4 linked regions of the Saccharomyces cerevisiae S288C genome follow. The gene in region 1 interacts genetically with each later gene. Each region holds a gene or a part of one and is shown in the gene's direction. Other genes may lie near its edges. The genes, in order: CIN1, PPT2, STU2 and FAB1.

Region 1 (8,053 bases):
CACACCATTTCGCCCAGCGCGCACATGATCGGGTAGATCACCGCGGAAATAATAATGTACGATATGAACAGCCCCGCGGGACCGCACGTATGAAGCGTGGATGAAGTCCCCACCAGCAAACCGGTACCGATGGCGCCGCCCAGCGCGATCAGTTGCACATGGCGCGACTGCAAACCTTGTTTTAGTTTGTGCGGCTCGCTATCGCCATCGACGGAGGGCGATTTCTCCAAGTCCACGTCCATAATCAAATCCTCGCGGATGGTGCCGTTGGACGACGCGGACTGGTTCTTAGATATTTTCTCCATACGGATGGCGTCATCTTTTTCATTGTCGCTGCGATGATTATTGCGCGACCCGGACGATGGTGATTCCGTTACCTGGACAACATCCTCCTCCTTCTTGGTGTCGCCGCCGCTACCGTCGCCGCTAACATCGTCCGCGCAGGTGACGACTCCCGCGCTGTGTCTATTGTTCTTGTGGAAGGGCAGTATATTTACCATGATTTATTCATTGATGGTGTGATTCTTCGAAACAGCAAAGAATAAAAGAAACTGGAAGGGAAGAGAGAAAAAAAAAGGAAAGGAAGAGGAACACAAACCCCCTATATATATATAGAAGTACATCAGTCTACAAATATTCGAGTGTATAAGTATGTATATACATATATGTTTATGCGTCTGTATCAGTACATGGATGGAGATATGCTGTGCCTACATTCATGGAATATTCAGATTGGGGCATGTACATAAACAGACATAATTAGTATTTTGGCCGTAGGTCCTGCCCTACCCTGCAAGGTTCTTCTTGTTATCAGCACTGGATGGAGGGGTGAAGCAGATAAAACCCCGGTGTAGTTGGCGATAGGCAGAGTGCAGGCACGATGATAGCGAGGGGTTGAAAACGTCCCATTTTCCTTTGATAGGAAATATCGGGCAGAAGTTGAAAAGCGACAAAAGCGACAGGCACACGCGAACCGGCTAGGCCACCCAAACGTCATAGCTAGCGCAATGAAAAAAACTAACGTCGCTTCCCTTTTGGTTTGATGATGTTTCAACTCGCAGCGCGGGTACCCGGGCTGCCGGAACAAAGCCGTGCAAGTAGCGGCTGTCGTCACGCACCATGGGTACCATCTTGTGCCGTGCCGTGCTACCTCAGATTTAGGACCCTGGAGATTTGGCAGACATGACAAGCAATTTTGACAAACTTGTGACAAGATTTGAACCGCGCGGGAATTCACATTGCAGTATGGACGGACATCCGGCCATCGCGCGCGGGCCCGGTATTTGATCTCCGTTTTAGAAGCACAGAAAAAAATAATATGATGTTATGATGTTTAATAGATGGATTCATATCGTCCGGGTAAAAACGCTTTTGGAGAAATCAAGGAAAATCGCCGAGATCACTAGGAAATACTATTACTATTGAAAAAAAAAAAAAGAAAAAAAAAGGAAAGACGATAATATTTTTGGAAAGAACGCCACCACACGCACTTTACACCCTTCAATCATGAACAATATTCGGGCCTTGCTGGACTCGATACAATCTGGAGTTCAGACCGTTTCTCCAGAAAAGCACCAACAGACGATTGCCGCGATCAACAAATTTCAAGATGATCCTGCACTTCTAGACACCATACTACCGAGATGCGTGCCTCTTTTGACCAAGTCGTTCTTTTGTATGTCACAGCGTGATCAGAAACTTGTTGCGGAGCTTTTCTACAATCTTGACAAGATCTCCCACTCAAAAGTCCTTAAATCATTAGATACAAGTATTTTTAGATTAAACGAAATTTTAAACTATTTACAAGATCGAGCCTCGCCCTCTTCTTTCAGCGATGTCTTGTGCGTCTATCTAAACCTTTCTTGGCTAAGCGTCATTCTGCTTTCACCTTACGCATTCAAAGATAAATTCAACAAAACGCTTCAAGTATCTTCCAGGTTCGAGAACTACCCCATTTGCATACCTCCAATTAACAAGATCAAAGCCGTTTTATATTTCAAAAACTTCACAGATGCCTTTGACCAGCTACCGGAACGGGAACAGGCAAATGTGCCGTTTCTCAACCAATTTTTAAAGCTGTTTATTCAGTCTTCGGAAAAGGCAAACTACTACTTCTCCAATGAAAATCTAAGACACTTACAACAAGTTGCACTGTCCAATGACGGAATAAAGCTGCTGCCAAAATTATTCCAGATTTCGTTCAATCATGGCTCTCATGATATCCTAGATGCTATAGTAGAATTCTTCCATGACCATTTAAGTTCGAATTCCACAGACACAAGATTCCAATTGGCACACTCCTTCGCTAAAATTGCCAAGTTCCTGCACCAGGCAGATCCAGCATCTTTTATCGAGCTCATTGATTATACCATCGAAAATACGGTTTCCCTATTACAGGCTCCTTGCGATTCTATCGATAGCAATGAGCTGCACACTTCCCTTCTGATCATCGCCGAGGTGGCTCTGGCCAAAATTCTGCCTATAGATCTAGTCGACCGCGTATTGACTCTGATCATCCCTAAAACATGTCATTTTCAGAAATCTCACTTTCAAATCATCAAGGGCCACCATATCAGGGACTCGACAAACTTCATTATCTGGTCAGTAATAAGGTCAAACCGTAGCAATAGTTTATCGCCGCAGGTTCTACAATCACTACTTTCTCATCTGTTAATAAACGCCTTTTTTGACCCCGAATTAATAATCAGATACTCGAGTTTTGCCGCGCTCCAAGAATTATTGGGCAGGTCCAACAAATCTCTTGCGCTAAATCAAAATGACATTGCTTTGATATTGCAAGCAAATTGGAAGGATCTACCGAGGTCTTTCGAGGAGAACTCTGGTCTAATTCGTAGGCTGTTCAACCCCGAAAACACCTCCAAAAGTGCTGTTTGCGTATGGAAGGTATTCCGCGATTGGTCCTTCAATTGGAATTTACTAGAGAATTTACATTTGACCACAATGAAACTCAACATAGATTATAACCTAGTTCCATTAATCAAGTCGAAATTATCTTCACCCGCTTTATTGCAAGAGGTATTAAACAAGGCTGGCAGCTCAGTTACACAAAATTGTCAAATTTTGTACTTGTACTTGAAACTATTCGAAAATGACGTAAATTGCCCGAAAATAAGCGAGATTTGTATCGACATTTACCAGAAAAAGATAAAATTCCAATTAACTACTCAAGCGAAAAGACAATTTAACGATAATTCGCCCGAACTGTTTCAAATTTTTGTCATTTTGAAATACTGGCAATTAACAGGACAAAATGATTTCAATCAGGAATTGTTTTGGAAATTTGTAGACATAGTATCCCCACAAAAGAAGTTAAATCTGTACAACGAATTCATCCCTATAATACAGCAAATAATATCTCAATGCGTTAGCCTAAACTACACAAGGATTGTTCAATTAATTAAATCAGATAACGAACTGACTTGCCGATCAATATGTCATATGCCCGATCAAGAAAAGATGTGTTCCCTTTTCTTCTCCCAGTTCCCCCTATTGTCACCTCAATCCAGATCGCTTTTGATAGGCGAACTTGATCATCATTGGGATGTTAGAATAAGCTTACTCCCGTCGAATTCGTATCGAAAATTTCGCAACATCATTATCAACTGTCTCGATGATTATACAATAACTCAACAGGGTGATGTAGGACGTCTGGTAAGAATACAGGCTTTAAAACTTATGCAATCCCATCCCGATTTCTTATCTGGTGATTGCGACTCCATCAATCCAAAATTAACGAGATTGCTGGCGGAACCTGTACCAGAGATCAGAAAACTAAGTTATCAATTACTTGCTTCGGCCACATCACAAATCACTGTGTTATCTGACTCTTCGATACTCAATTTCCGTCACAAGCAAGGTTTAAGTGAAGAATTCTGGAAAGGATATGCAGTGAGCGCTGGAGCAATACATTTTACAGATTCTCAGCTTACTTCATCAATAGATTCATTTATCGTATACTACAGATCTTTGTCTCCTTCACAACAGCTGGAATTATGCCACGATTTAATCAGAATAATTCCAAGCGCTAAACAAATCGCTGAATCAAGAATACGCGATCGTAACAAGGATCCATTAACAGGAGGTATGAGATTTGACACCATCAAATTCACCATTCATTGTGTAAAATTTTGGACTAGAATCATGGAATCTGGGTTGGTTGTTCTACATCCAAATTTTAATTTTCAGGGTGTTTTCGCCAAGTTCTATAACCTACATTTATTAGATTGTACGACATTGAGAGTAAGCGTGATCAAATTCTTCCCGTTCTTGGCAATATCTTGTTACCACACAATGAGAGAAAATGCTGACCAGAAGAATCTATCCAACATAATACTGAAAAGGTTGTTGGTTCTTGTGAAACGTGAATACGCCGCAACAAAATCAAAATTTATGACTGATCAAAATGTCGCTTTACAAGGTATGTTCCAGATATTTTTGGAATTAGGTGTCACCAGGCAACTCCAAGCTCTACAAGTGGCCTGCCAGAAACATGAATTGGCGAATATATTAGAGTCTGATATCACTTTATAGAATGTAAACGGCAAATTTTACATATAATCATTATTTTTGTTGCATTTGCTTAGATCTTATGTAAGAAAATAGATTTTCTACTCTCTTTGCATAGGATACATCCGCAGCAAAATTATATTCCGCATCATTTGCGGTAAATAAAGCTTCATTCCGCATTTCTTTATCTCTTTTTGCTTTAGATTTTTGGAAAATTTCTGAATCCATATGAAATAGAGTTTTTCGCTCCCCAAAAATTTTGCGCAATTCCATTATGTTTATTGGTTGAATGGTCCCTTTTTCTGACTTAAATGGTTTATTCTCAACATACCATTCGCCGACGTCATCTGTTATCTGCAAAACTCTATCGGTGTTTTCTTGTATATCAATTTCTAAGCTGGATAGCCATTCAGAAATTGCATCTCCGATTTGTATTGGCAACCTCCACGAAAACTTATCACTAAACTTATCGAAAAGAAAAAATTTGTGACTTTGTGTAACCAACAAATTATAGAAAGCAAAATAGAAAAAATCAGAATCAGAGTAGTTTTTGCAGACTTTCAACATCGAGAGAAAATCGTGGGAGGTAAATTGATAGCCGATTTCATTCAACTGGTTATACAATGCCAGTAGAGTAAGTTTGGTAGAAATATCTTGAGAGGCGCCATGAAAGAGGCAATGAAAAGTGGAATTTTCTTTGTTTCCAACTATATTATCTGTGAGTAATAATGGCTGCCATAAATTTTTTTCGTATACTATGTGCTCGACCAATGAAAGCATAAAATCGAAATCCTTGCGCACAGATAAGTGACACAGTAGCATATCAATAAAAAAAGCTCTTAAGGAATGCAGGTTGGACTCAGCCTGCATTTGGTCATCAACCTCCTTAATGTGCTTTTTCCATACTTCTAAGTTCAGAGGCAAATCACTTAATTTAAACGATAGAAATTGAAGAAATGAATCTTGCTTGAGAGGTTCGAAATTATCTTTTGATAAAATATGTATGCTCTGCTTCAAACTCACGTCAGTTGGTAATTTTTCAAGTCCGAATTGCCTAGTGACAGCGGTAGTTGATGATAATCCATTCATGGTTTCAATAACTTTGAGGCAAGAATGGTTCTGGGATAATTGTATCAAGTTGGAGGAATCATGCTGATCAAAATGAAAGTTCCATTCAGACAAGCTCCTTAAAATCTGACAAGCTTCATTCTCCATATTTTGTGCTATCATTACTTTTAGACTTTTGACTAGGCATGGACTAAATAACTCCAACAATTGAATAGCTCTTTCACGCTCCTTCGAACCTCTTAAACCAGAATCCGGTACACATGAGGATAAAATATCCAACATACTTGTCCATTGGGAGGTCTCCACATAAAATGCCAGCTGGGATAAATTGGCTAATAATTGACCCTCCGAATTTTCCGCGAACAACCGCTGTATTGCCCTTAAGTAGTAGTTCGATTGGGATTTAACAATTAAAAGAGTACAATTCCTCAAAAATTTTATGTTTGCCCGAAATTTTCCTTCTATAGTTAAAGATTTGGTTTTAAGAAAATAATAGCGATCCAATAATTGCAATGAAAATTTAGCTAGTGCAATTTTGTCATTTGCGGACCGAAGCGATAGTTTATAGAGCATATTAGATAGCTCATGATAAAATTCCAAAGGCAGCCGATCAGGTGGGAATGCATCAATCTGTCGGCCACTTTTATTTAGCCATTTTATGTGACCTGTGCCAATACGATTCAACAACGCAAAATACAAAGCAGGATTATCGGATGTACGAAGCTTCTGTAGAGTAGTCAGTACCACATTTAATCGTAAATTTACATTTTGGAGCTTATCTTCATTCAGTTTATCTTTTCTTGTTAGCGCATCCTTCAACCATTTATCAGTTATTGAGTTAGTTCTTTTGTTATTTGGTAAACGTTTATGCGATGATGGCTGTCGCCCTAGCTGTGGTAGTATTTCAGGAGTGATTAAAGAGTCCTTAATCAGCTTACCAATATGACTAGACGAATATCTTTTAAAAAGTAACTTCATATTCTTCTTGGCACACTACTATCATTTTTTCTCGCCGTTTCTAGTAGAAAAGGGCAACTTTTACTTAAAAATCATACAATTGACTTACTTTTTTTTTTTTACACAGATACCTTTTTATTTTGAACTACGCGCAGTTTGAAAGAGGAAGAGATAATCCTATGATTACTCCAAAACCTTCTTCTTTTTCGGTATTGCCTGAGAAATGATAACACTTTTGGGTAACTTCCTTTTCCAGTCTGAATTTATACTTTCTAGTTTAGGGCCTTCGTTATTGCACAATATCTTTTTGTAATATAATCTCTCTAATTGACTTAAGTGTTTTGCAATCCAAATATGTTTGAGACCTTGCTTACTATTTAATCGTTTAACTACGTCAGTTTGCAAAAGGTCTTTGACAAAACTCTTGGCATTATCTGAAACAATATCCCACTGCTTCAGTTTGAAATTCAGCTTCCCAATTTTTGCATTTTGAATAATACTCCTCTCAGAACCATCTCCATAAAAAGGCGAGATCCCTGTTAACATAATGTGTGTAATGACACCCAAAGACCAAAGATCACATTTACTGTCATAACCTCGTTGCTCTAACGTAGCTGCTCTTGAGAAGCTTTGATATGCTTTTCTGTTTGCTCTGAATCCAACTTCTGGAGCGCAGTATTCCGGAGTGCCTACGACAGTATGCATTCTTTCTTTGTTGGAATTTAAATCTTTAGCTATACCAAAGTCTGCCAAGACGATTCTAGTGCACGGTTCTGGCGTACATAACAAAATATTGTCTAGTTTCAAATCGCGGTGAACAATGTCTTGATCATGAAGGTAGTTTAAAGCTTGCAAAATTTGAAAGACGATCAATAGCGATTCAGTTTCTGACATGGAAGTTAGACAGTCGCCTTTAGCTAGGTAAGAAAACAAATCACCACCAGGGATAAGATCCTGGAATATGTAAAGGTGATTGTTCCTGTCACAGAAAGTATGGTAGACTTTGATAATATTTGGGTGATCCAGTCTCAAAAGGATTCGAGCCTCTTTATCGAATTTATTTGGTTTTAGTTTAATGATCTTCACAGCATAATTTTCAGGGTGATAACAGACATCTTCATCACGTTCTTTTGAGTTATGCGTGATCAGAACATGACCGAAAGTGCCATTACCCACTATTCTATTTGTTATTTCCCATTGGTCTACTTCCCTCAGAAAACCCATTTGATCTAAAAGTTTTGGGTCCAGAGAAGATTGTAAATCATCATTAATCATAAAAACTAGTCGTGTTTTTTTAATGTCATTTTCTTCACTTCCCTGCGATAATTCAATAACGTCGCAATGTTTTAAAAGATACGTTTTGTCCCTTTTCAAAAGCAAACCGTTCAAATACGTTCCATTAAGAGAACAATCTTTAACGTAGAACATTGGAATACTATCCTCATCAAAAAAGACACACCAAAACACGCAATGAACAGAGGAGATAGAGGGATTCGTTAGA
Region 2 (5,424 bases), on another chromosome or scaffold:
CACCATAAGAATAGTAGTGGAAATCCTAATAAGATTCAAGGTGTTTCTAAACACGAATTAAAGAAATTAATGGCTTTGGCTGGCAGAGTACACGGCGAATCGAAGATCAAGAATAGAGTTGCCAAAGACGGTCTAGTTAAAACAACGGCTGGCGACTTATGGGGTGAAGAATCCAATTCAAAGAAACAGAAGGTCAAATTACCTTCCGGTATCAAACTTGATGTGGAAAAAAAGGACCAGATACCTGAAGAACTATTGAAAAAATCCACGACAAGTTGGTCTACTGCTTCAGTCAGACCAAGTACTTTAGATATAGAGCCAATTGCAGTAAAAGAATTCACAGAAATTCCACATGCTGGTAAATCCTACAATCCCAACAATAAAGCTTGGTCAGAATTGATAAACAAAGAGTATAAAGAGGAAAAGGCAAGAGAAGATGAAAGAATCGCCTTGGAAAAGTACAAAGAAAGAATTAGACATTTAATGGAAACTTTAGATGACAATGAAGAGGAAGAGTCTTCATCAAACGAAGAAGAAGAAGAAGAAGAAGAAGAAAATGAAAATGAAAATGAAAGTACGCAATGTAGTGGATCTGATAAGGAAATAAAACTATCAATAAATAAGCCTGTGAAGAATAAAAAGAAAACAAAATATCAAAGAAACAAGGCAAAGAGACATGAAGAGAAAGTAAAATTGCAACAAGAGTTGAAAGAATTGAGACAACGTGTTAAAGATTTAGAAGAAGTTATCAATTCTGAAGAGACTGAGATACTTTCAGCCATAGAGTCAGATAGCAACAAGGTTAAAAAAAGCAAGAAAAATAAGAAACACAAGTTAGGGACGAAATACTCTGTGATTGATGAAAGATTGGAGATTAAATTTTCTGACGAATTATCTGACTCATTGAGAAAACTGAAACCTGAAGGAAATCTGCTATATGATACTGTGAGAAAACTACAAAGTTCTGGTAAGGTCGAAACAAGAGTGCCCGTTAGGAAAGGTAGAAAGTATAAGCAGAAAATCACTGAAAAGTGGACACATAAGGACTTCAAATAGAGTTTTTTGTTTTACAGTATATGTTTCCATGAAAAGGTTGTCCTTGATACGTGGATTCATCAAGTGAGATATATATATATATGTTCATATTTGTGTTGGCAAGACCAACAACTGTATAGTAGGTAACAAATTGTTTCATTTTCTTTTCGTTCTCTGCCCTTTTCTAGTTTGAGAGGGCATTCCCATGTCGATATCTCTAGATATCAGTTAAACATTCAAAAGTACAAATTCAGTTACGGAAATAATATATAAATTATATTCGCTAAATAAAATCTCTCCCTTTCTAGGGTGTTTTCAAATAATTTCAAGCTTTTCCCGTAGCTTCGTCCTCTCATCTTCCCAACCTTTTACTCTTTCTAGTTTTCTCTCCAATTCCTCAATCTCGTTGTCAATCGACGTGATTGCTTCATCGGTACCAACTGCCTGTAATTGCCATTTGCCATCTCGATTTTCACCGATCTCTAGTAACATTTCATGATATTTGATTAATGTGGGTCTTTGTGATATGGAAATGAAATTGAATCTGTATCGTTTTAAAAGATTGAACAGATAGTCTTCCATGTCAACACTAATTGCGTTTGTAGCCTCATCTAATACTACGTATAGTGGTTTATGAAACATGATTCTAGCAAAATTTACTCTTTGCTTTTCACCACCACTTAATAAGTCCTTCCAATCGGCAATGGCATCTAGGTAAGTTAAGCCAACGCCTCTTTTTAAAAGATAATCTAGTTTCACTTCGACTAATATCTGTACTAGCTCCTTATCTCTAAACCCCCTATCAAAGAATTCATCCGAGGACATGGGGTATATAATTTGGTCTCTTAAAGTTCCACCTCTACTAAAATATGGTTTCTGAGGAATAAAAAAAATATTATTTTCTGAAGGAATCGACAATAATCCATTTTTGTTATACACTGGCCATATTTCAGCTATAATGCGTTGAATTGAACTTTTACCGCAACCATTTGGCCCTAATATTAACAGGCTGGAGCCAGAACCCTGCAAAAATGGTAACTTTATATCATTTGCCTTCGATAAGTCTTGTATAGAATTGGACTTTGAAGTTATTGGGTCAATATGCAAAGGAATTTGAAATGTAAGCTTGTTAATCAGCTTTATGCCTTCGCTCGCCCTTACTGATGGAATGATTACGTCTATATTTTCTAACCGAATACCGTTAAAATTGCGTTGAATAGTACCACGAATAGCATCTTGCGAATTATCCGTGGTGGGTAATAAGTTGGAATTTCTGGAAGCGTCTTCTGTACGTATTGACAGGATTGAAGGAACAGCGCCGTAATTAAAGTTCAGAGAGTGAACCCTGTGTAAGACGGAAAGCAGAGTAAATATCCTATTAGTGTAGCCGGTCAATTGTGAGATGTCCTTTATCGAATGCATCAATCTCGAGCCTGCATCTGCAAGCGACAACATCAACCTTTTGTTGACTATAAATTCCTTCATATTTTTTTCCTCTGAATTGATGCCTGTCGCTAAGGTAGACATAACGATAGGGATTGAGGCAAAAACATAACCCAAACCGGACCATGTATATTTTAAAACATAGTCTTCCAACATATTGTAACCAAACTTGACTTTATCAACCAGCAGCATTTTTTCCATCAGCACATCATACAACTCTTTAACTTTCGTCCTTTCCACTGCTGTTCCTTGGTAAAATGCGATCTCTTCGCTATTATTTATCATGTTTAGATGATAATTGTAGTAATCGCCGTCTGAAGCAGATCTCTCGCCTGCCAATTTACCTAATGGTGGCGTGTATTTCCTCAAAATAAACCCAGTAATGAAATAATTAACAAATATACCTGCTACTCCCACAGTTCCCAAATTATCACGTAAATAAACCGAAAAGAATATTAAATCAATAACTGGCTTTGCAATGTTTGCAAAAACGGAGCATGTCGCATCGCAAAATTTTGCAACATCATTAGTAATGGAGTTGTCGATATTCTTGATTACCGAATTGGACGCCTTTGCATCAAAAATTAATTTGTAAAATGTTAGTCTTTTATCCAAATACATGTCATGGATGTAACGTGTCAAATTTACCCTAAAGTTTAAACTCAACTTCCTTTGAAGTAGCTTAATAGCACTATTAGTATAAGAAGCAGGGACAGCAATTAAAAACCAACACCCTAAGTCCCACAGAAAGCTTCTTCCTCTACCAGCAATTATATTTTTGACTATTTGTCCATCCAGCTTGGCTACAAACAAAGAGAGCCAAGTTCTCATCACCAGGAAAAAAATTTGAGCAGTTAAAAGAAGAAAGTTTTTGTCAAAAACTGTTGGAATTAAAATTTTAGACAAGACGTTCATTTGGTTTAAAAATTTTGAGTAGAATAACTGCGAATTCTTGGCTCTTTCCAGTTCTACATTTTTAAAAAGAAACTTATCGTGTTCATATACATCGTTATCCTTTGGTGGAATAAATATCCTTTTCCTTTTTTTTTTATCTGTAGCATTCATAAATTTGTTGTCATCGGGACTCTGGCGGTCGACTAATTCCACTTCAGGAATATACATTATTCTTGCACCACTGTCTAATTGCATTTGAGATCTTGTTCTTCTTATTAAAGGTCTCCTATTCCTTCTCTTCCATGGAAACTTGTAAAATTTATAACATTTTAGAATAATTTTGAAAGTACTATATGTTACACCAGAAAAAAGTGTGACACCAGATAGGAAAAGCGATACCAATAAAATCTGGGCCCTTCTTCTTAGCTTAGGATGAGCAGCGTTTGATCTAGATATCTGTAGAAGATGCCGTATCAATAACTTGAAATATACTTTAGGTGTGACATCGTTAACGTGTAGCCCAATACAGTGAGTATGTAGATTCAGGAGCAAACTCTTTAGTTTCGCTGGTGCTGCTAATGTTGTTGACATTTCTGTGTTATGCGTTCTAAGACTTCCAGATTGTCTGAAACGGGTTTCATTGTTAGTCTCACTTCTTAGAGAAGCATTCTTATATATCTTGACTCTAAAAGGGCTGAAAATAACCGCCGAAATTAAAAATTGGGGTAAAAAAGGGTAACGAAACTTATGCGGTTAAGCCCGATCAACATATAGCTGAATATTGCGTCAAGAATAATTTCTTAATCGGGATTATTTCCGAAGGAAGAAATTCTATTGAAAAAAAAATCTTAACATCAAAACTGCTTATATACATTCCACAGGTTCAAGCGGTCATAAGAGATCTGACTTTTGATAGAAAAGCTAGTTCTTTAAGAAGGCTGAATAGAAGCTAAGCACTATTTTCTTATCAGGAGTATTGCTTTCTAATGAACGTTTATTTCATAAGTGCTAGCTTTGAATGCCTCCAGTGATGAGTTTTGCATCGAGGAATATTGGACGTAAGATAGCAGGAGTGGGAGTTGACATTGTATACTTGCCAAGATTTGCACATATACTAGAGAAATATTCCCCATTCGACCCATGTGGCCGTTCTACCTTGAATAAAATAACACGGAAGTTCATGCATGAAAAGGAAAGATTTCATTTCAGTAATCTTCTCATCGAAGAAAACTGCTTAACTCCACGATTGCATGAATATATAGCGGGAGTTTGGGCTTTGAAGGAATGCTCATTGAAAGCGTTGTGTTGCTGTGTTTCAAAGCATGATCTACCTCCTGCCCAAGTACTGTACGCTGGAATGCTATATAAAACACAAACCGATACAGGTGTACCTCAGTTAGAGTTTGATAAGATGTTTGGAAAAAAGTATCCAAAGTATCAACAGCTCTCGAAAAACTACGATTCTCTCTTTTCCACTCATGAGTTTTTAGTTTCGCTATCCCATGATAAAGATTATTTAATTGCAGTAACAAACTTGGTAGAAAGAGAGTAAAAGTTTTCTTGCAGCCGTATAAATGTGGCCCTATTTTCAACGTCCAAGTTATTTTCTGCGATATTTGAATGACACTTTTAAATGCGTATATAACAGCTCTTAGAGCTCAGAGGAAGCTTTATCGCCGCCTTTTATAGGAACAAGAGTTATGTACAAAAAGCCATCAAAACTTCGCAATTTAGAATACAAATCATACAGGAGCATATGCCAAGGAATTTCAATTCCTTGACAAATAACCATGACATCATTACCATTGATTCCTTCCTTTACGTCCAGAATATCGCCTTCAATATCCTTCAACGTAGGATTGACTCCAGTCATACTGATAGTTGGTTGTGATATTCGAAAAGTTCCTGATGTCCTTGAGGTTTGAATGATGAGCGGTATATGTCGCGGTCTTGATGAACTTATCTTGTTAGATATTTCAATGAAATCTTGGAAATTTCTCGTAATAACACTGCCCCAAAATTTTCGAGCTTCGTTGACCGATAAAGACATAA
Region 3 (7,989 bases), on another chromosome or scaffold:
GTTTTGATGTCGACGTGGACAAGCATTTTAGAACTTTAAGAGTCCGCAAATATTCTCAGATATGTCTTTTAATTTCTTTCATTATAATATGTGTTATTATACCCTTAATGAATTATTTGTTGCTAACTGACAAATTCTTCAAAATATGTCACCATTTAAAGCATCATGTTTTCAACAGAAGATCATGGGTTCACAAAACACATATGTATCACAAACAGTCACTACAACTATGTTTAATATGCTTTGTTTTCACCTCGTTTTTTGTTATACAAGGCGCTAACGGAGATCTGTTAGAAATTACTAAGCGAATGGGGAGAATTTCCGTTGCTTTGATGCCACCTTTACTATTTCTAACGTTGAGGCCATCACCGTTACCTCACACGTTATACTTAGCATTGTTACCTCTCCACAAATGGATTTCCAGAATTGTTGTGCTTGAATCTATTCTACACACGTGGTTCTATCTCTATTACATGTACATTAATGATACGTTATACGTGAAAATGAGAAAACTACCCAACATTTATGGGGTTATTGCCCTCGGCCTTTTCCTACTGATTGCCATCACCTCTGTGAGATATGCCAGACGATGGAGCTACAGAGTTTTTTACTATGTTCACTATGTAAGCACATGGCTTATTTTGGTGTTTCTACATTATCACGCTCGCCCAGGAATTTCATATTATACCACTTTAAATGTGCTCATATTAACGGGACAAATCGTCTATAGGCTCCATATCACCAATGTTACGAGAGTTACGATAGTACCCATTTCTTCATCATTGTCTCTTTTGGAGTTCCCATTAACCGATTTACCCAAAAAGCCCATCCTACCAGGAGGGCATCTAAGGATCAACATTTACCATAGAAATTTTTTAAGGAGGTTTTTCTCCCATTTGATACCCTTCCAACATCCTTTTACTATTGCTAGTATTCCAAGTGATAATTTGGTCAGGTTAATTATTAGAAACGGGCATTTTCCATTGCGTACAAATGAAAAGTATTACATTACAGGGGCTTTTGAACCTGAGTTGAGTTTCATTTCTAAACCTACTGTTCCTTTTAATATTACCACGAAATCTTCCAAGAATCCATTTCGAAACAATTCTTCTGCACTAATAAATTCGCCTTTAAATTTTCTAATTAAAGCGCAAAGAGTGTTTATGTGTGTTGGAGGTTCAGGAATTTCCTTTGGCTTACCACTACTTCGTATTCTAAACTTCAACGGTGTAAACGTTAGGCTCCTTTGGGTTTCTAGAGATTATAAGGATCTGGAAGTATTGAACCACTTCAAAAACAATTTTGAAGGTATGGAGATATATATTAGTGGCACCGAAGGCAACGAACAGGACATAGAAATTGATTATATTGACTATCATGACTGCGCTGCTGATATTAATGATGAAGTCAGGAGTATTTCTTCGAGCGGCCGAGTTTCAGAACTGGGAGATAATTCCATGTTATCAGATGGAAATCCCCAACCTACGGAGCCCAATGAGAACACAGCCCTTCTAAGTAAGAAATCTACCTTGAGAAACCATCACCCACCAAAAACAAGTGATATACCTGACATCAATGCTGATGACGAGATAGATTTTACATATGCTTTTAGCAGATCCAAATCAAGGAAAAATACTGCACAAGGAACTCTAACTACACATTCTTCGTTTAACGGATCGAGCGTTTTCAGACAACCAAAGATCATTGAGCCACCTGCCCAAGATCCTTGTTTAGAGGCGGCGCCTAAAAAGATCAGAATTCCCGCAGGTGTTAAAGTGTTCTTTGGCAGGCCTACACTTGGAGATAAGGATTATGAATGGTGTCTGCAAACCGAATGTGATGCAGAGACGGATTCTATTCAATGTTGCAGGTGGGCGAATCAAGGCAGAGACCATGCTGAATATTTGTCACAAGTATGGGTTCTCGCTGCAGGCCCTAGAGGCTTAATTGAAAGCACCAAAAGATGGGCGACAGATGGTGGTTTACACTTTCACGGAGAAAGTTTTGCATTATAAGAGTTGCAAGTTGGCTATTAGTTTATGAGGCTTGGAAAATTCACGTATTTGATGGTGGCATATCTATAATGTCCCGTTTTGCTCTTTAATCTTACTGTCAAAAAAGGGCCCTATGTACGATCTTTTCTAACTGATTTTTTCCGAGAAAAGTTCCGCAGGCTGATTTAGTTTTTTTCTGGTGGTTGTCAAGCCTCTCTCCACTTGGTGATAGTTGCGAAAAATGACAGCGGATATTAATGGATATTAGCGGGAATAAGCACATTTCCATATTGATTATTTGTATGTCTAGCAACTTATAAGATGAATTATAAAAGGCATATAAGTTCTTCTTGGTACTGAATACATGACACTCTCACTACTGTACTAGAGACTTATTGTCGATAAAAGAACTCAACTGCCTCAATAGGAATTTTTTTACTAAAGCAATCACTGATTATGAAGGTTTTTATGCATACAATCCTCACAAAGGTGCAGCGATTGCATTTGTCGTTCTGTTTGGCATTTTAATCCTTTCTGCCTTGGTGCAGATCATAATGGCAACACACACGAGCAAGAGACGTATTCATCGCTGGGAAAACAATGAGTTGTCAGAGGAAAATTCCACAATAATATACTTTCCTGCCCGCGGTTTGATGTGGACACATTTTCCTTTCGTTTTAGGGATTTGTTTAGAGTTCGTGGGTTATGTGTTGAAAATAGTCTTTATCAATAGCCCCTCGATTTCGACTTTCATTGCTCAATCGGTGCTTCTATTGATAGCACCTTCACTTTACGCCCTTAGTATTTTTATGTTGTTCAGCAAAATGGCACGTCTAATTCTTATGGAGGCATATATGTTAATTCCTGCGAAATTTAGTACAGTTTCTTTCGTAGTGGCAGATATGATTGGGCGTGTCCTACAGGCTGTAGGAGGTGGGTTGTTATCCTCATGGAACAGCAGGAATACTGGGCGTATCCTAATTATTGTGGGTCTTTTCATTCAGATATTTTGTTATACCTTTTTAACGTTCAGTCAACTTTTTCTTCACTATAAAATGAAGGCAACGCCTAGTAAAATTGTGCGGGATAGTAATGAATGGTTCCAGTACAATTTTATACTTTTAGCTGGGATATTGCTGGTTAATGGTAGAACCATTGTCAGAGTAGTACAATTTCTAATGGGCTTACAAAGCTATATAGGTCAGCACGAATGGTGCCTTTACGTTTTCGATACAGTTCTAATGTTTTTACTACCTTTGATTTTCCTAGCAACCTTTCGCGCAAGAAATTTGTTCAAGCTGCAGGATAAATCTGTCAATATTCAATTAAACAAATTATTAGACAAGGAATCTGTGTCTGAAGATTAAGTAGTCAAAAATTTATTAATTAAATAGTTGGATAATATTTGTGCTGGGCATTAGAAGTCAATCTTGTCTTTTCCTTTATATGGTGCAAAGATTATCATGGTTAACGAATCTATTTTTTTTCGTGTCGTTTTTGTTTTTGTTTTTGTTTTTGTTTTGTCTGCTTGACACTCCATAGGAAGAGTAAATGAAGAACCTACCAGACCTAGGGACCAAATAGCATTACTAAACTACAAAGAAACAGCTATCTTTACAGTGTAAAGTATTTTTGAGTTTTTATTAAAGAGTTTGAAGTTGACTATGTCAGGAGAAGAAGAAGTAGATTATACAACGTTACCCCTAGAAGAGCGATTAACGTACAAGTTATGGAAGGCACGTTTAGAAGCTTATAAGGAGTTAAACCAGCTTTTTAGAAACTCCGTTGGCGACATCAGTAGGGATGACAACATACAAATTTACTGGAGGGATCCTACATTATTTGCACAATATATAACTGATTCTAATGTGGTCGCTCAAGAACAAGCCATTGTTGCCTTGAATAGTTTAATAGATGCCTTTGCGTCATCGTCTTTGAAAAATGCACATAATATTACTTTAATATCAACATGGACACCATTGCTTGTGGAAAAGGGCTTAACGTCCTCAAGGGCTACAACGAAGACGCAGTCGATGAGCTGTATACTCTCACTATGTGGTCTTGATACATCTATTACGCAATCGGTGGAATTGGTAATACCCTTTTTCGAGAAAAAACTGCCAAAATTAATTGCTGCGGCAGCCAATTGTGTTTATGAGTTGATGGCTGCATTCGGGCTCACTAATGTGAACGTTCAAACGTTTCTACCAGAATTATTAAAGCACGTACCTCAACTAGCCGGTCATGGTGATAGAAACGTTCGATCACAAACGATGAATTTGATTGTCGAGATCTATAAGGTTACGGGCAACAATAGCGACTTGTTAGAGGAGATACTGTTTAAAAAATTAAAACCAATTCAAGTGAAAGATCTTCATAAATTGTTTGCAAAAGTTGGTGACGAGCCATCGTCATCGAAAATGTTATTCGAGTGGGAGAAAAGAGAATTGGAAAAGAAAAGAAGCCAAGAGGAGGAAGCCAGGAAAAGAAAGTCCATATTATCGAATGATGAGGGGGAATATCAGATAGATAAGGATGGAGATACATTGATGGGGATGGAAACGGATATGCCACCATCAAAACAGCAAAGTGGAGTTCAAATAGACACCTTCAGTATGCTACCGGAGGAGACGATCCTCGATAAACTGCCTAAGGACTTCCAGGAAAGGATAACGTCGTCCAAATGGAAAGATAGAGTGGAAGCGCTGGAAGAATTTTGGGATAGTGTTCTATCGCAGACTAAGAAGTTAAAAAGCACCTCGCAAAATTATTCCAACTTATTGGGGATATATGGCCATATTATCCAGAAAGATGCAAACATTCAAGCTGTTGCACTAGCCGCTCAATCAGTAGAATTAATCTGCGACAAACTAAAAACACCAGGCTTTTCCAAGGATTATGTTTCACTAGTCTTCACTCCCTTGTTAGACAGGACAAAGGAAAAGAAACCTTCTGTGATAGAGGCCATTAGGAAGGCATTATTAACCATCTGCAAGTATTACGATCCATTAGCCTCCAGTGGACGCAATGAAGATATGTTGAAAGATATTTTGGAGCATATGAAGCACAAGACACCTCAAATCAGAATGGAGTGTACGCAATTGTTTAATGCAAGCATGAAAGAAGAAAAAGATGGATACTCGACCCTGCAAAGATACTTGAAGGATGAAGTGGTACCAATTGTGATTCAGATCGTCAACGACACCCAACCTGCTATAAGAACTATTGGATTTGAGAGTTTCGCCATTCTAATTAAAATATTTGGCATGAATACCTTTGTGAAAACATTAGAGCACTTGGATAATTTGAAAAGGAAAAAAATTGAAGAAACGGTCAAAACTCTACCTAATTTCAGTATTGCAAGTGGTAGTACCCATAGCACTATTGAAACGAATAAACAAACTGGGCCAATGGAGAATAAATTTCTCCTGAAAAAAAGTTCTGTACTTCCCTCCAAGAGAGTGGCATCTTCACCGCTGAGAAATGATAACAAAAGTAAAGTGAACCCAATAGGGTCAGTAGCCTCCGCATCAAAACCATCAATGGTAGCTGCTAACAATAAATCGAGGGTCCTGTTGACGTCTAAGTCTTTGGCAACGCCAAAAAACGTAGTAGCTAATAGCACTGACAAGAATGAAAAGTTGATTGAAGAATACAAGTACAGACTGCAAAAACTACAAAATGATGAGATGATATGGACCAAAGAAAGACAAAGCCTATTGGAAAAGATGAATAATACAGAAAATTATAAGATCGAAATGATTAAAGAAAACGAAATGCTAAGAGAGCAACTAAAGGAAGCGCAGTCTAAATTGAACGAAAAGAACATTCAATTAAGATCCAAGGAGATTGATGTCAATAAGCTGTCTGATAGAGTACTGTCACTAGAAAACGAGCTTAGAAACATGGAGATCGAATTGGATAGAAATAAGAAAAGAAATGATACAAACTTGCAATCGATGGGTACGATTTCATCATACTCCATACCTTCTTCCACCGTGTCAAGCAACTATGGGGTAAAATCTTTATCTTCCGCTTTGCCATTTAAGGAGGAGGAAGATGTCAGAAGGAAAGAGGACGTCAACTATGAAAGAAGATCAAGCGAGTCCATCGGCGACCTGCCGCACCGCGTAAACTCTCTTAACATACGGCCGTACAGAAAAAACGGCACTGGAGTGAGCAGTGTCTCCGACGATTTGGATATCGATTTCAACGATAGTTTTGCCTCAGAAGAAAGTTATAAACGTGCCGCTGCAGTGACATCTACCCTAAAGGCCAGAATTGAAAAAATGAAGGCCAAATCAAGGCGGGAAGGGACAACCAGGACGTAAAGGGTAGCCTCCCCATAACATAAACTCAATAAAATATATAGTCTTCAACTTGAAAAAGGAACAAGCTCATGCAAAGAGGTGGTACCCGCACGCCGAAATGCATGCAAGTAACCTATTCAAAGTAATATCTCATACATGTTTCATGAGGGTAACAACATGCGACTGGGTGAGCATATGTTCCGCTGATGTGATGTGCAAGATAAACAAGCAAGGCAGAAACTAACTTCTTCTTCATGTAATAAACACACCCCGCGTTTATTTACCTATCTCTAAACTTCAACACCTTATATCATAACTAATATTTCTTGAGATAAGCACACTGCACCCATACCTTCCTTAAAAACGTAGCTTCCAGTTTTTGGTGGTTCCGGCTTCCTTCCCGATTCCGCCCGCTAAACGCATATTTTTGTTGCCTGGTGGCATTTGCAAAATGCATAACCTATGCATTTAAAAGATTATGTATGCTCTTCTGACTTTTCGTGTGATGAGGCTCGTGGAAAAAATGAATAATTTATGAATTTGAGAACAATTTTGTGTTGTTACGGTATTTTACTATGGAATAATCAATCAATTGAGGATTTTATGCAAATATCGTTTGAATATTTTTCCGACCCTTTGAGTACTTTTCTTCATAATTGCATAATATTGTCCGCTGCCCCTTTTTCTGTTAGACGGTGTCTTGATCTACTTGCTATCGTTCAACACCACCTTATTTTCTAACTATTTTTTTTTTAGCTCATTTGAATCAGCTTATGGTGATGGCACATTTTTGCATAAACCTAGCTGTCCTCGTTGAACATAGGAAAAAAAAATATATAAACAAGGCTCTTTCACTCTCCTTGCAATCAGATTTGGGTTTGTTCCCTTTATTTTCATATTTCTTGTCATATTCCTTTCTCAATTATTATTTTCTACTCATAACCTCACGCAAAATAACACAGTCAAATCAATCAAAATGTCTGAAATTACTTTGGGTAAATATTTGTTCGAAAGATTAAAGCAAGTCAACGTTAACACCGTTTTCGGTTTGCCAGGTGACTTCAACTTGTCCTTGTTGGACAAGATCTACGAAGTTGAAGGTATGAGATGGGCTGGTAACGCCAACGAATTGAACGCTGCTTACGCCGCTGATGGTTACGCTCGTATCAAGGGTATGTCTTGTATCATCACCACCTTCGGTGTCGGTGAATTGTCTGCTTTGAACGGTATTGCCGGTTCTTACGCTGAACACGTCGGTGTTTTGCACGTTGTTGGTGTCCCATCCATCTCTGCTCAAGCTAAGCAATTGTTGTTGCACCACACCTTGGGTAACGGTGACTTCACTGTTTTCCACAGAATGTCTGCCAACATTTCTGAAACCACTGCTATGATCACTGACATTGCTACCGCCCCAGCTGAAATTGACAGATGTATCAGAACCACTTACGTCACCCAAAGACCAGTCTACTTAGGTTTGCCAGCTAACTTGGTCGACTTGAACGTCCCAGCTAAGTTGTTGCAAACTCCAATTGACATGTCTTTGAAGCCAAACGATGCTGAATCCGAAAAGGAAGTCATTGACACCATCTTGGCTTTGGTCAAGGATGCTAAGAACCCAGTTATCTTGGCTGATGCTTGTTGTTCCAGACACGACGTCAAGGCTGAAACTAAGAAGTTGATTGACT
Region 4 (10,524 bases), on another chromosome or scaffold:
GCAAGTATTCAAAACAAAATAAGACGAGGGAGCTTCATAAAAATTAGGTCGTATATGTTGAAATGAGAGGATTTAGTACATTCTGTATTCATCATATTATAGCCTTTACCAACAATGAAACTCCAGTAATTATCAAATTATTCTCCCAATTCTCACCGAACATGCGGCAACGTTAGGTACGGATCGCGGAAAACACTTTATTTTGTGCAGAGGTACTGTCATGAATACTATGTCAATAAAAAAAGTATCGCATTATCACCACGCCTATATAACATAATCTAAACTATTCGTGAGGGTACAGAAATCCATTGAAATGAATTGATAGTTCTACACGATATCGCTGTCATTTTATTGTACGTTTCAAGTTTTACTAAATAAAAATGACATCTGAAACAGATTAAGTTTTTTTGTAACTTGTGCCCGTTGAAATAGGAATTAACTGTTATAATTGACAATATTCATGTCAACACTATATAGTAATATATAATAAAGAAGGTAACTTAAATGGCGATAGGCGGTCAACAAGTCTAGGGAATCAGAAATGCAAGAATGAATAACGTAATAGGATAGCGAAGGAACATATCAAAAACAAGGGAAAAAAAAATTGGTTCTATATCTAGATATATCTAGAATTTTTGGACTGGTTTTATCTCAATTTCCACCTATCTTTATGTATTATCTTTCGACCGTCTTATCTTTTAATATGGTGGCAGGAATACCAGTCAGACAATGATTGGATCTTGTCTCGGGTTGTTTGTTATCACGTAAGCACCACAGTCCGCTCCGTAGGAAAAGAAAAATAGCCGCCGAGCCACGGGAGCAAATGAGTGAAGAATATGCGCAACGTTTTGGTACATATACAAAAAAATGTAGAAAAGAAGCTAAAGAGATTGACGTTACGTACATATGTATGAGTGGGTAGGTGTGGACGACACTAGGGAGGCTTTACTTCTCTCCAAACATGTGAAGCTGGTTATAGATGTCCTTCTTAAAGTCCTCGTACTTAAAAGACGACTTTCTACGCGTGCCCAACTGTGGAGGAGAGCCGTGTGGGACTCTTGCGCTGTTACCATTGCTGTTGTTGTCAAGGTACGAGTTTTTGAAAATGGGTCTGTTGCCAGCACGAGAACAGATCGGTGTATGGGAGATGGAGTCACCCATATCCACGCCAGCGTGGCTCAGGTCAGAGTCGTTAGTGGTCCTGTATTGCATATTGTGGATAGTATTCTGGAAATCCATGGGTCCGCTACTCCTACGTTCGGCTCCCGGGGCGTGCTCCCCGATACTGCTTTCGCGTTCCCGGGCTTGTTCCCTGGAATTTAGTGCGTCCATATAATTGGTAGACCGCCGTCTAATCATGGGGACTGGCTTGTCTACGCTTTGAGCGGGAGCGCTTGGACCCGGGAGGTTGAATGTAGAAACACTAGGTGTTTCCTGTGCACAGGGCGGTTCGTCGATGTTGAGGAAGTCCTGTGATCTTTCAAATGTGGGTGACGTGCTCACTTGGGGCGTGTTCAAGTGGGGATCTGTCATGAGGGTGAGTGTATGCGTGTGTGTGTGTGTTGCGTAGATGTGTGATTTACTATGTGTTATGTAGCTGCTCTCATCGCTGCTGATAGTAGATCTCTCGCGCAAAAATTACTCAGGCAAACCTTTACTATACCTACATATATATATATATATATGTATATGTATGTGTGCAAGCTTTTCAGAGTGGTGCACTGACATTGACCGGGCCACTCATTCCACCCCACATCCCCCAGATCAGGGGGAGATGTTAACGAAAGGAAACAGGGGATTTATCACTGGTTACGGGAGCGTAGTGACTGTACTACAAATTCGCACACAAGCAGCGCCCAGTGACGAGTCTCCGCGGCGTCTAAGTGCCGGAAGTCATCATCCACGGTGTGCCATGTACTTGGGAATGGTAGCGGGATTGCATGTAATACGGGTACTCCGGCGGCCAGGAATGGCGTGTGGTCGTCTCCGATGACCGAATGCCCGAGCCCTAAAAATCGATAGTCCGTGGGGTCCAGATGTTTGCGTTGACGCGCGACTTCGGCGGCTAATGCCGATTCGCCGTTGATTTCATCTCCACGTCGAAATAACAAGTCATCCTCTATTCGATTGAGCAGCTGATATTCTTGATGTGTCTCTGCATAGTAGCTGGGCACTAGCGGCTCCTCTTCGCCACTTCCTAAAAGATCCAGAAGAAATAATAGGCGAATTCTTGTCATCGTGCCGTCAGCAAGCCATTGGGCGGCTAATCGGCGTGCTCCATAAATCGAGTCCTCGGGGCCCCACTCTTCAATGGCCTCCTCTCCATCAAAGAATACGATCTTTACACCCAAGGTAGAATTCGATACTACAGTGTTCGACTCTAAGTCATTGTACTCTTTCGTGCGCTCGTGGCACGCGATGTGCGTTAGGAACTGGGCCGTATATAGCAGCGCGGCACACGAGGCGGCACTGTCGATAGCGCCCACCATCCCCGTGGGCGCTATCTTGGTATCATAATGAGCAGCGAGCACTAAGTACTCGCTCGCATTGTTTTGTAATGTCATAACAAGGTTATTGAAGCGGTAACCGTTCTCCTCAAAGGCTTGCGTCTCAACGGCCCATTCTCCCGCCAGCGTATTGTTGAAGTGCTCGATGATGAAGCGCTGGATCTCGCGCGAGCCTTCCGATCCGGGTACGCGCGTTCTGTTAAAAGGCAACAGCAGGTTCTTGGTACTTTTGTTCCAACCGCTGTCTGGGTTGATAGCTTCGTTCAGATGCGCTGCATGGTACTGCTCATATGACAACTCCCACCCAGTTACCCTATGCACCTGAAATAGCACCAACAGGTACGCTAGACCAATTAGTCGCAAAGGCAATACGTACTTCATTCCCATGCTTACGACCTTTTCAGTCTTTTTATTTCTTTTCTGTTGACTCTCTCTAACTCTCCCTCTCCCCCTCTTCTTCCCATGAAATGTATCACAAGCCGTCTTATTCCTTTGCTTCTTATATTCTTATGTTCCTTCCTTCGTCTCGCCTCGAAGGCAACGCAAACGCAATGTACTTCTTGACGAACGCGAAAACCATATGGAAAGTAAATAAAGGGCCAAACAAAAAACTATTTCGAATAGCAAGGTAGCTTCCATCCTGTACATGCAAGACCGTCACACAGCATGTCATCGGAAGAACCCCATGCATCTATATCCTTTCCAGATGGCTCACATGTCCGGTCGTCCTCCACTGGTACTTCATCTGTGAACACAATCGATGCTACCTTATCCAGACCGAACTATATTAAGAAACCGTCCCTGCACATTATGTCGACATCTACGACGTCGACTACGACGGATCTAGTGACAAACCCAATTCTGAGCAATATCTCCGTGCCAAAAATAAGCCCCCCCACATCATCCTCGATAGCAACAGCGACATCAACAAGTCACGTGACCGGCACTGCGTCGCATTCGAACATTAAAGCTAATGCTAACACTAGTACCAGCGTGAATAAGAAAAATTTGCCGCCAACAACTAGTGGGAGGATACCCTCTAGCACCATCAAGAGATATCCGAGTCGCTATAAGCCTTCTCACTCGCTGCAGCTGCCCATTAAGAACGACTCCAACTTTAAACGATCTAGCATATATGCCTCCAAATCCACTGTTACTGCTATCCCCATTAGGAACAATCGGCCAATTTCCATGCAGAATTCCTATGCGCGCACTCCTGACAGCGATCATGACGACGTTGGCGATGAAGTGTCTTCGATAAAGAGTGCCTCTTCTTCGTTGACCGCATCCCTGTCCAAGAGTTTCCTGTTCGCATTTTATAACAACCGCAAGAAGGACAAGACCAGTAACAATGGTGTCCTCTCAAAGGAATATTGGATGAAGGACGAGAGTTCTAAAGAATGTTTCAGTTGTGGTAAAACGTTTAACACTTTCAGAAGGAAACACCACTGCAGGATATGCGGCCAAATTTTTTGCAGCAGTTGCACTCTCTTGATAGATGGTGATCGATTCGGCTGTCATGCCAAGATGCGAGTATGTTACAATTGTTATGAGCATGCAGACACATACGAGGACTCCAGTGATGAAGAGAATGATTCTACAATGCAATTGAATGAGCCAAGGTCTCGCTCTCGCTCTCGTTCTTCCAATACCAATCCATATTCTCATTCACATTCGCATTTGCATCTCATTTCACAGGACAACCATAACGGTACCGATCTCCATGATCCAGTAGCAGCAACGGATAACCCTCAACAGCAGAATGAGGTCTACCTATTAAATGACGATGACGTACAAAGTATAATGACCTCAGGTGAAGATTCTAAATTGTTCATTTCTACACCCCCACCACCACCGAAGATGGCCATCCCAGCAACAAAGCAAGGCGGATCGCTGGAAATCTCATTCGATTCGGAAAACGATAGGGCTTTGCATTATCAAGATGACAACCCCGGTCGCCATCATCACCTCGATTCCGTGCCCACAAGGTACACTATCAGAGATATGGACAATATATCACATTACGATACCAACTCTAATTCCACTTTGAGGCCACATTATAACACCAATAACAGCACTATTACCATCAACAACCTCAACAACACTACTTCCAACAACAGCAACTATAACAATACCAATAGCAACAGCAACATCAATAATCCTGCGCATTCCTTAAGAAGGTCTATTTTCCATTATGTAAGCAGCAATAGTGTTAACAAGGACAGTAACAATAGCTCTGCAACACCCGCTTCGTCTGCACAGTCTTCTTCCATACTGGATCCTGCCAATCGTATTATCGGGAATTATGCTCATAGAAATTACAAGTTTAAATTCAACTACAATTCCAAAGGTCCTTCGCAACAAAATGACACGGCAAATGGAAATAATGATAATAATAATAATAATAATAATAATAATAATAATAATAATAATAACAGTGCCAGCGGTATTGCTGACAACAATAACATTCCCTCAAACGACAATGGCACGACGTTCACTCTAGATAAGAAGAAAAGAAACCCACTGACAAAATCTAAATCTACGTCCGCTTACCTAGAATATCCTCTAAACGAGGAAGACTCTTCTGAGGACGAAGGTTCCATGTCCATATATTCTGTATTGAATGATGACCATAAAACTGACAATCCAATTAGATCAATGAGGAACTCCACAAAATCTTTTCAACGAGCGCAAGCTTCACTACAGCGGATGAGGTTTAGAAGGAAAAGTAAAAGCAAGCATTTTCCCAACAATTCGAAAAGTTCCATTTATAGAGACTTAAATTTCTTGACCAATAGTACTCCCAATTTACTTTCTGTAGTAAGCGACGATAATCTATACGACGATTCTTCTCCTTTGCAAGACAAGGCCTCTTCATCCGCTGCAAGCAGACTCACTGACAGAAAATTCAGCAATAGCAGTGGCAGCAATAATAATAGCAATAGTAATAGCAATATCAACACCGATCCTTGGAAGAGAATCGCTAGTATATCGGGATTCAAACTGAAAAAGGAAAAAAAGAGAGAATTAAATGAAGTCTCTCTTTTACATATGCATGCCCTATTAAAACAATTATTGAATGATCAAGAAATTTCCAATCTTCAAGAATGGATAACCCTTCTAGATGGCGCTTTGCGTAAAGTTTTAAGGACCATCCTGAACGCGAGGGATTTGAACACATTAGATTTTAGACAAACTTACGTTAAGATAAAAAGAATTAGTGGTGGATCTCCTCAAAATTCAGAATATATCGACGGGGTTGTCTTTTCGAAAGCATTGCCGTCGAAAACAATGCCACGGCATTTGAAAAACCCAAGGATACTATTAATCATGTTTCCACTGGAGTACCAAAAGAACAATAACCACTTTCTAAGTATAGAGTCCGTCTTTAGGCAAGAGCGCGAATATTTGGATAAACTTGTTTCGAGATTAAAGTCATTACATCCTGATATTATATACGTCGGCGCCAATGTTAGTGGGTACGCGTTAGAACTATTAAATGACTCAGGCATTGTCGTACAGTTTAATATGAAACCACAAGTCATTGAAAGAATTGCCAAGCTAACAGAAGCAGATATTGCCATTTCTGTGGATAAGTTGGCTACGAATATTAAGATGGGTGAATGTGAAACTTTTGAAGTTAAAAGCTACATTTATGGAAACATCAGTAAAACATATACATTTCTTCGGGGCTGTAACCCAGAACTTGGTGGAACAATTTTGTTAAGAGGTGATAGTCTTGAAAACTTGAGAAAAATCAAACAAGTCTCTGAATTTATGGTCTACGCAATTTTTTCATTGAAGTTGGAAAGTTCATTTTTTAACGATAATTTCATACAACTTTCTACAGATGTTTATTTGAAGAGAGCTGAATCCAAAAAACTGCAAGTTTTCGAAGGTTATTTTGCAGATTTCTTGATCAAATTCAATAACAGGATTTTGACTGTATCACCAACGGTAGATTTCCCCATTCCCTTTTTATTGGAAAAAGCCAGAGGCTTGGAAAAGAAGCTCATAGAAAGGATCAATCAATATGAAAGCGAATCTGATTTAGATCGGCAAACGCAACTAAATATGCTTCAAGGCTTAGAATCGACTATCACTAAGAAACACTTAGGAAATTTAATAAAATTCCTGCATGAAATGGAAATTGAAAATTTAGAGCTTGAGTTTCAGAAGAGAAGTCGTCAATGGGAGGTTTCATATTCATCATCACAGAACTTACTTGGTACGGGCTCACACCAGTCTATAACAGTTCTCTACTCAATGGTTTCAACAAAGACTGCCACACCTTGCGTTGGCCCTCAAATTGTTACTATTGACTATTTTTGGGACAGTGATATTTCCATTGGTCAGTTTATCGAGAACGTCGTGGGAACTGCCAGGTATCCCTGCCAACAAGGCTGTAATGGTCTGTATTTGGATCATTATAGAAGCTATGTTCATGGGTCAGGAAAAGTAGACGTTTTAATCGAAAAATTCCAAACTAGATTACCAAAATTAAAAGATATTATCCTCACGTGGAGTTATTGTAAAAAATGTGGGACATCTACTCCGATTTTACAAATTAGCGAAAAAACCTGGAATCATTCTTTCGGTAAATATTTAGAAGTCATGTTTTGGAGTTACAAAGATAGCGTGACAGGAATTGGGAAATGTCCTCATGATTTCACTAAAGATCATGTCAAATACTTTGGTTACAATGATTTAGTGGTTCGACTAGAATATTCTGATTTAGAAGTTCATGAATTGATAACCCCACCACGCAAAATAAAATGGAAACCTCATATCGACATCAAACTGAAGGTGGAACTATACTATAAGATTCTGGAAAAGATCAATAATTTCTATGGGAGTGTCCTAAGTCGGTTGGAACGTATTAAATTGGATAGTATGACTAAAGATAAAGTTCTTAGTGGACAAGCTAAAATTATCGAATTGAAGAGCAATGCTACAGAGGAGCAAAAATTAATGTTGCAAGACCTGGATACTTTTTACGCAGATAGTCCTTGCGATCAACATTTACCATTGAACCTGGTTATCAAATCTCTATACGATAAGGCTGTAAATTGGAACTCTACATTTGCGATATTTGCAAAAAGCTATTTGCCTTCTGAAACTGATATTAGTCGTATCACGGCCAAGCAGCTGAAAAAACTGTTTTACGATTCTTCAAGAAAAGACAGCGAAGACAAAAAATCACTTCATGATGAAAAGGCGAAGACGAGGAAACCAGAAAAGAACGAATTACCGTTAGAGGGATTGAAAGATGTCGAAAAGCCGAAAATTGATAGCAAGAATACGACAGAGAATCGTGACAGAACGAACGAACCACAGAATGCCGTGACGATAACCACTTTTAAAGACGACACTCCAATTATTCCAACAAGTGGTACTAGTCACTTGACAGTTACACCTTCTGCATCGTCGGTTTCTTCTTCTTTGACCCCTCAAACCGAAGAACGTCCGCCAATAAGCAGAAGTGGAACAGGTATATCTATGACTCATGATAAAAGCACTAGACCTAACATAAGAAAAATGAGTAGTGATAGTAGTTTATGTGGACTAGCATCACTTGCTAATGAATATAGTAAAAATAATAAGGTGAGTAAGCTAGCTACATTTTTCGATCAAATGCATTTTGATGCCCTGTCGAAAGAATTTGAACTGGAACGTGAAAGGGAAAGATTACAACTTAATAAGGATAAATACCAAGCCATACGATTACAAACATCCACACCAATTGTGGAAATTTATAAAAATGTCAAAGACGCAGTTGATGAACCGCTTCACTCTAGAAGTTCAGGCAATAATTTGTCATCTGCGAATGTTAAGACTTTGGAGGCACCTGTGGGAGAACATTCCCGGGCCAATAATTGTAATCCTCCTAATTTAGATCAAAACTTGGAAACTGAATTAGAAAATTCCATTAGCCAATGGGGAGAAAACATTTTGAACCCCTCTGGAAAGACCACCGCAAGTACTCATTTAAATTCTAAGCCAGTAGTAAAGGAAACTTCAGAAAATCCAAAGTCAATAGTTAGAGAATCAGATAATTCAAAGTCGGAGCCGCTTCCACCTGTAATAACAACAACAACTGTCAATAAGGTAGAATCCACTCCACAACCTGAAAAATCATTATTGATGAAAACCTTGAGCAACTTTTGGGCAGATCGATCTGCGTATTTGTGGAAACCCCTTGTTTATCCAACCTGTCCTTCGGAACACATTTTTACTGATAGTGACGTTATAATCCGCGAAGATGAACCAAGTTCCTTGATCGCATTTTGCTTAAGTACTTCTGACTATAGAAATAAAATGATGAACTTGAATGTCCAGCAACAACAGCAGCAGCAAACAGCAGAAGCTGCTCCTGCCAAAACAGGAGGAAACAGTGGAGGAACTACGCAAACCGGGGATCCTTCTGTTAACATTTCTCCCTCAGTTTCTACAACTTCTCATAATAAGGGGAGGGACTCAGAAATTTCATCCTTAGTAACCACCAAAGAGGGCTTGTTGAACACCCCTCCCATTGAAGGCGCCCGAGATAGGACCCCACAAGAATCACAAACGCATTCCCAAGCAAATTTAGATACTCTTCAAGAATTAGAGAAAATTATGACAAAAAAAACAGCCACACACTTGAGATATCAATTTGAGGAGGGTTTAACGGTAATGTCATGTAAAATTTTCTTCACAGAACATTTTGACGTGTTTAGAAAGATTTGTGATTGTCAAGAAAACTTCATTCAAAGTTTGTCAAGATGTGTTAAATGGGATTCCAATGGGGGGAAAAGTGGGAGCGGGTTTTTAAAGACTTTGGATGATAGATTTATTATAAAGGAGCTGTCACACGCAGAACTGGAAGCCTTCATAAAATTTGCACCAAGTTATTTTGAATACATGGCACAAGCAATGTTCCATGATTTGCCCACGACTTTGGCTAAAGTATTTGGGTTTTATCAAATTCAAGTAAAAAGCTCTATTTCAAGTTCCAAAAGTTATAAAATGGACGTTATCATTATGGAGAACTTATTTTATGAGAAGAAAACAACAAGAATATTTGATTTGAAGGGTTCCATGAGAAATAGACATGTCGAACAAACAGGTAAAGCTAATGAAGTGTTGTTGGATGAAAATATGGTAGAGTATATTTACGAATCACCTATTCATGTTCGCGAATATGACAAGAAACTTTTAAGAGCTTCTGTTTGGAACGACACATTATTTTTGGCCAAAATGAATGTGATGGATTATTCCTTAGTCATTGGTATTGACAATGAAGGGTATACTTTGACAGTAGGAATCATTGATTTCATTCGAACGTTTACATGGGACAAAAAACTAGAAAGTTGGGTCAAAGAGAAAGGCCTAGTAGGGGGGGCCAGTGTGATCAAGCAGCCTACCGTTGTTACACCAAGACAATATAAAAAACGTTTTAGGGAAGCAATGGAGAGGTATATTTTGATGGTTCCTGATCCGTGGTATAGGGAAGGAAATTAATACATAAACGTGTACAAGTTATATTCTGTAACTTTTTTTTATACACTATCACGCACATTAGTGTTCTTTAACTTTCAGTACCTTAGTAGTTATCAACTATGAAAAGGTGGTTCAATGAATGTTACGAAAGGTTTATTATAGAAGGATAAGAAGCAAAAATTTAAAAAAGAAATGCGTCACAGACAGGATTCGAACCTGCGCAGGTAAAACCCAATGCCTAATTGCTTTTCTGAGGAAATAGCAGGGCATCGCCTTAACCACTCGGCCACTGGGACAGAATCTCTTGGTTTGTTCAATGAAGTAAACTATTTTGTTGTAAACATAATGGGTATGTTTAACGGCGAGAGAAAACTATGCGAAATTTGGTATAATTGTTGTGTTTCCATTGTTGTTAAAGGCATTAACACTAAGTTTACAGAACATACTAGAAGTTGTTTTCGGCAACATAGGAATCTACAAAAGGGGATGGATAATTCTACATAATAATATTATTATTTCCCCTTTCATTGTTGAC

What was found.
Region 2: mutations in CIN1 (region 1) and PPT2 together harm fitness more than expected from each alone (negative genetic interaction), as found in Saccharomyces cerevisiae (2 studies listed by BioGRID).
Region 3: mutations in CIN1 (region 1) and STU2 together harm fitness more than expected from each alone (negative genetic interaction), as found in Saccharomyces cerevisiae (2 studies listed by BioGRID).
Region 4: mutations in CIN1 (region 1) and FAB1 together harm fitness more than expected from each alone (negative genetic interaction), as found in Saccharomyces cerevisiae (2 studies listed by BioGRID).

The regions. Positions count from the first base shown.
Region 1 is NC_001147.6:988,283-996,335, forward strand, and holds CIN1 (Cin1p), read left to right. Parts: upstream 1-1,506; coding exon 1,507-4,551; downstream 4,552-8,053. Other genes in the region: proline permease PUT4, read right to left, coding at 1-500; MNE1 (Mne1p), read right to left, coding at 4,582-6,573; serine/threonine protein kinase MEK1, read right to left, coding at 6,736-8,053.
Region 2 is NC_001148.4:271,794-277,217, reverse strand, and holds PPT2 (holo-[acyl-carrier-protein] synthase), read left to right. Parts: upstream 1-4,402; coding exon 4,403-4,924; downstream 4,925-5,424. Other genes in the region: NOP53 (Nop53p), read left to right, coding at 1-1,056; ATP-binding cassette long-chain fatty acid transporter PXA1, read right to left, coding at 1,351-3,963; ATG5 (Atg5p), read right to left, coding at 5,024-5,424. UniProt on the Saccharomyces cerevisiae protein: Transfers the 4'-phosphopantetheine moiety from coenzyme A to a Ser of mitochondrial acyl-carrier-protein.
Region 3 is NC_001144.5:233,373-241,361, reverse strand, and holds STU2 (Stu2p), read left to right. Parts: upstream 1-3,658; coding exon 3,659-6,325; downstream 6,326-7,989. Other genes in the region: FRE8 (putative ferric-chelate reductase), read left to right, coding at 1-2,015; YLR046C (uncharacterized protein), read left to right, coding at 2,549-3,361; PDC1 (indolepyruvate decarboxylase 1), read left to right, coding at 7,281-7,989.
Region 4 is NC_001138.5:181,329-191,852, forward strand, and holds FAB1 (1-phosphatidylinositol-3-phosphate 5-kinase), read left to right. Parts: upstream 1-3,173; coding exon 3,174-10,010; downstream 10,011-10,524. Other genes in the region: IGD1 (Igd1p), read right to left, coding at 946-1,533; YFR018C (uncharacterized protein), read right to left, coding at 1,803-2,894. UniProt on the Saccharomyces cerevisiae protein: The PI(3,5)P2 regulatory complex regulates both the synthesis and turnover of phosphatidylinositol 3,5-bisphosphate (PtdIns(3,5)P2).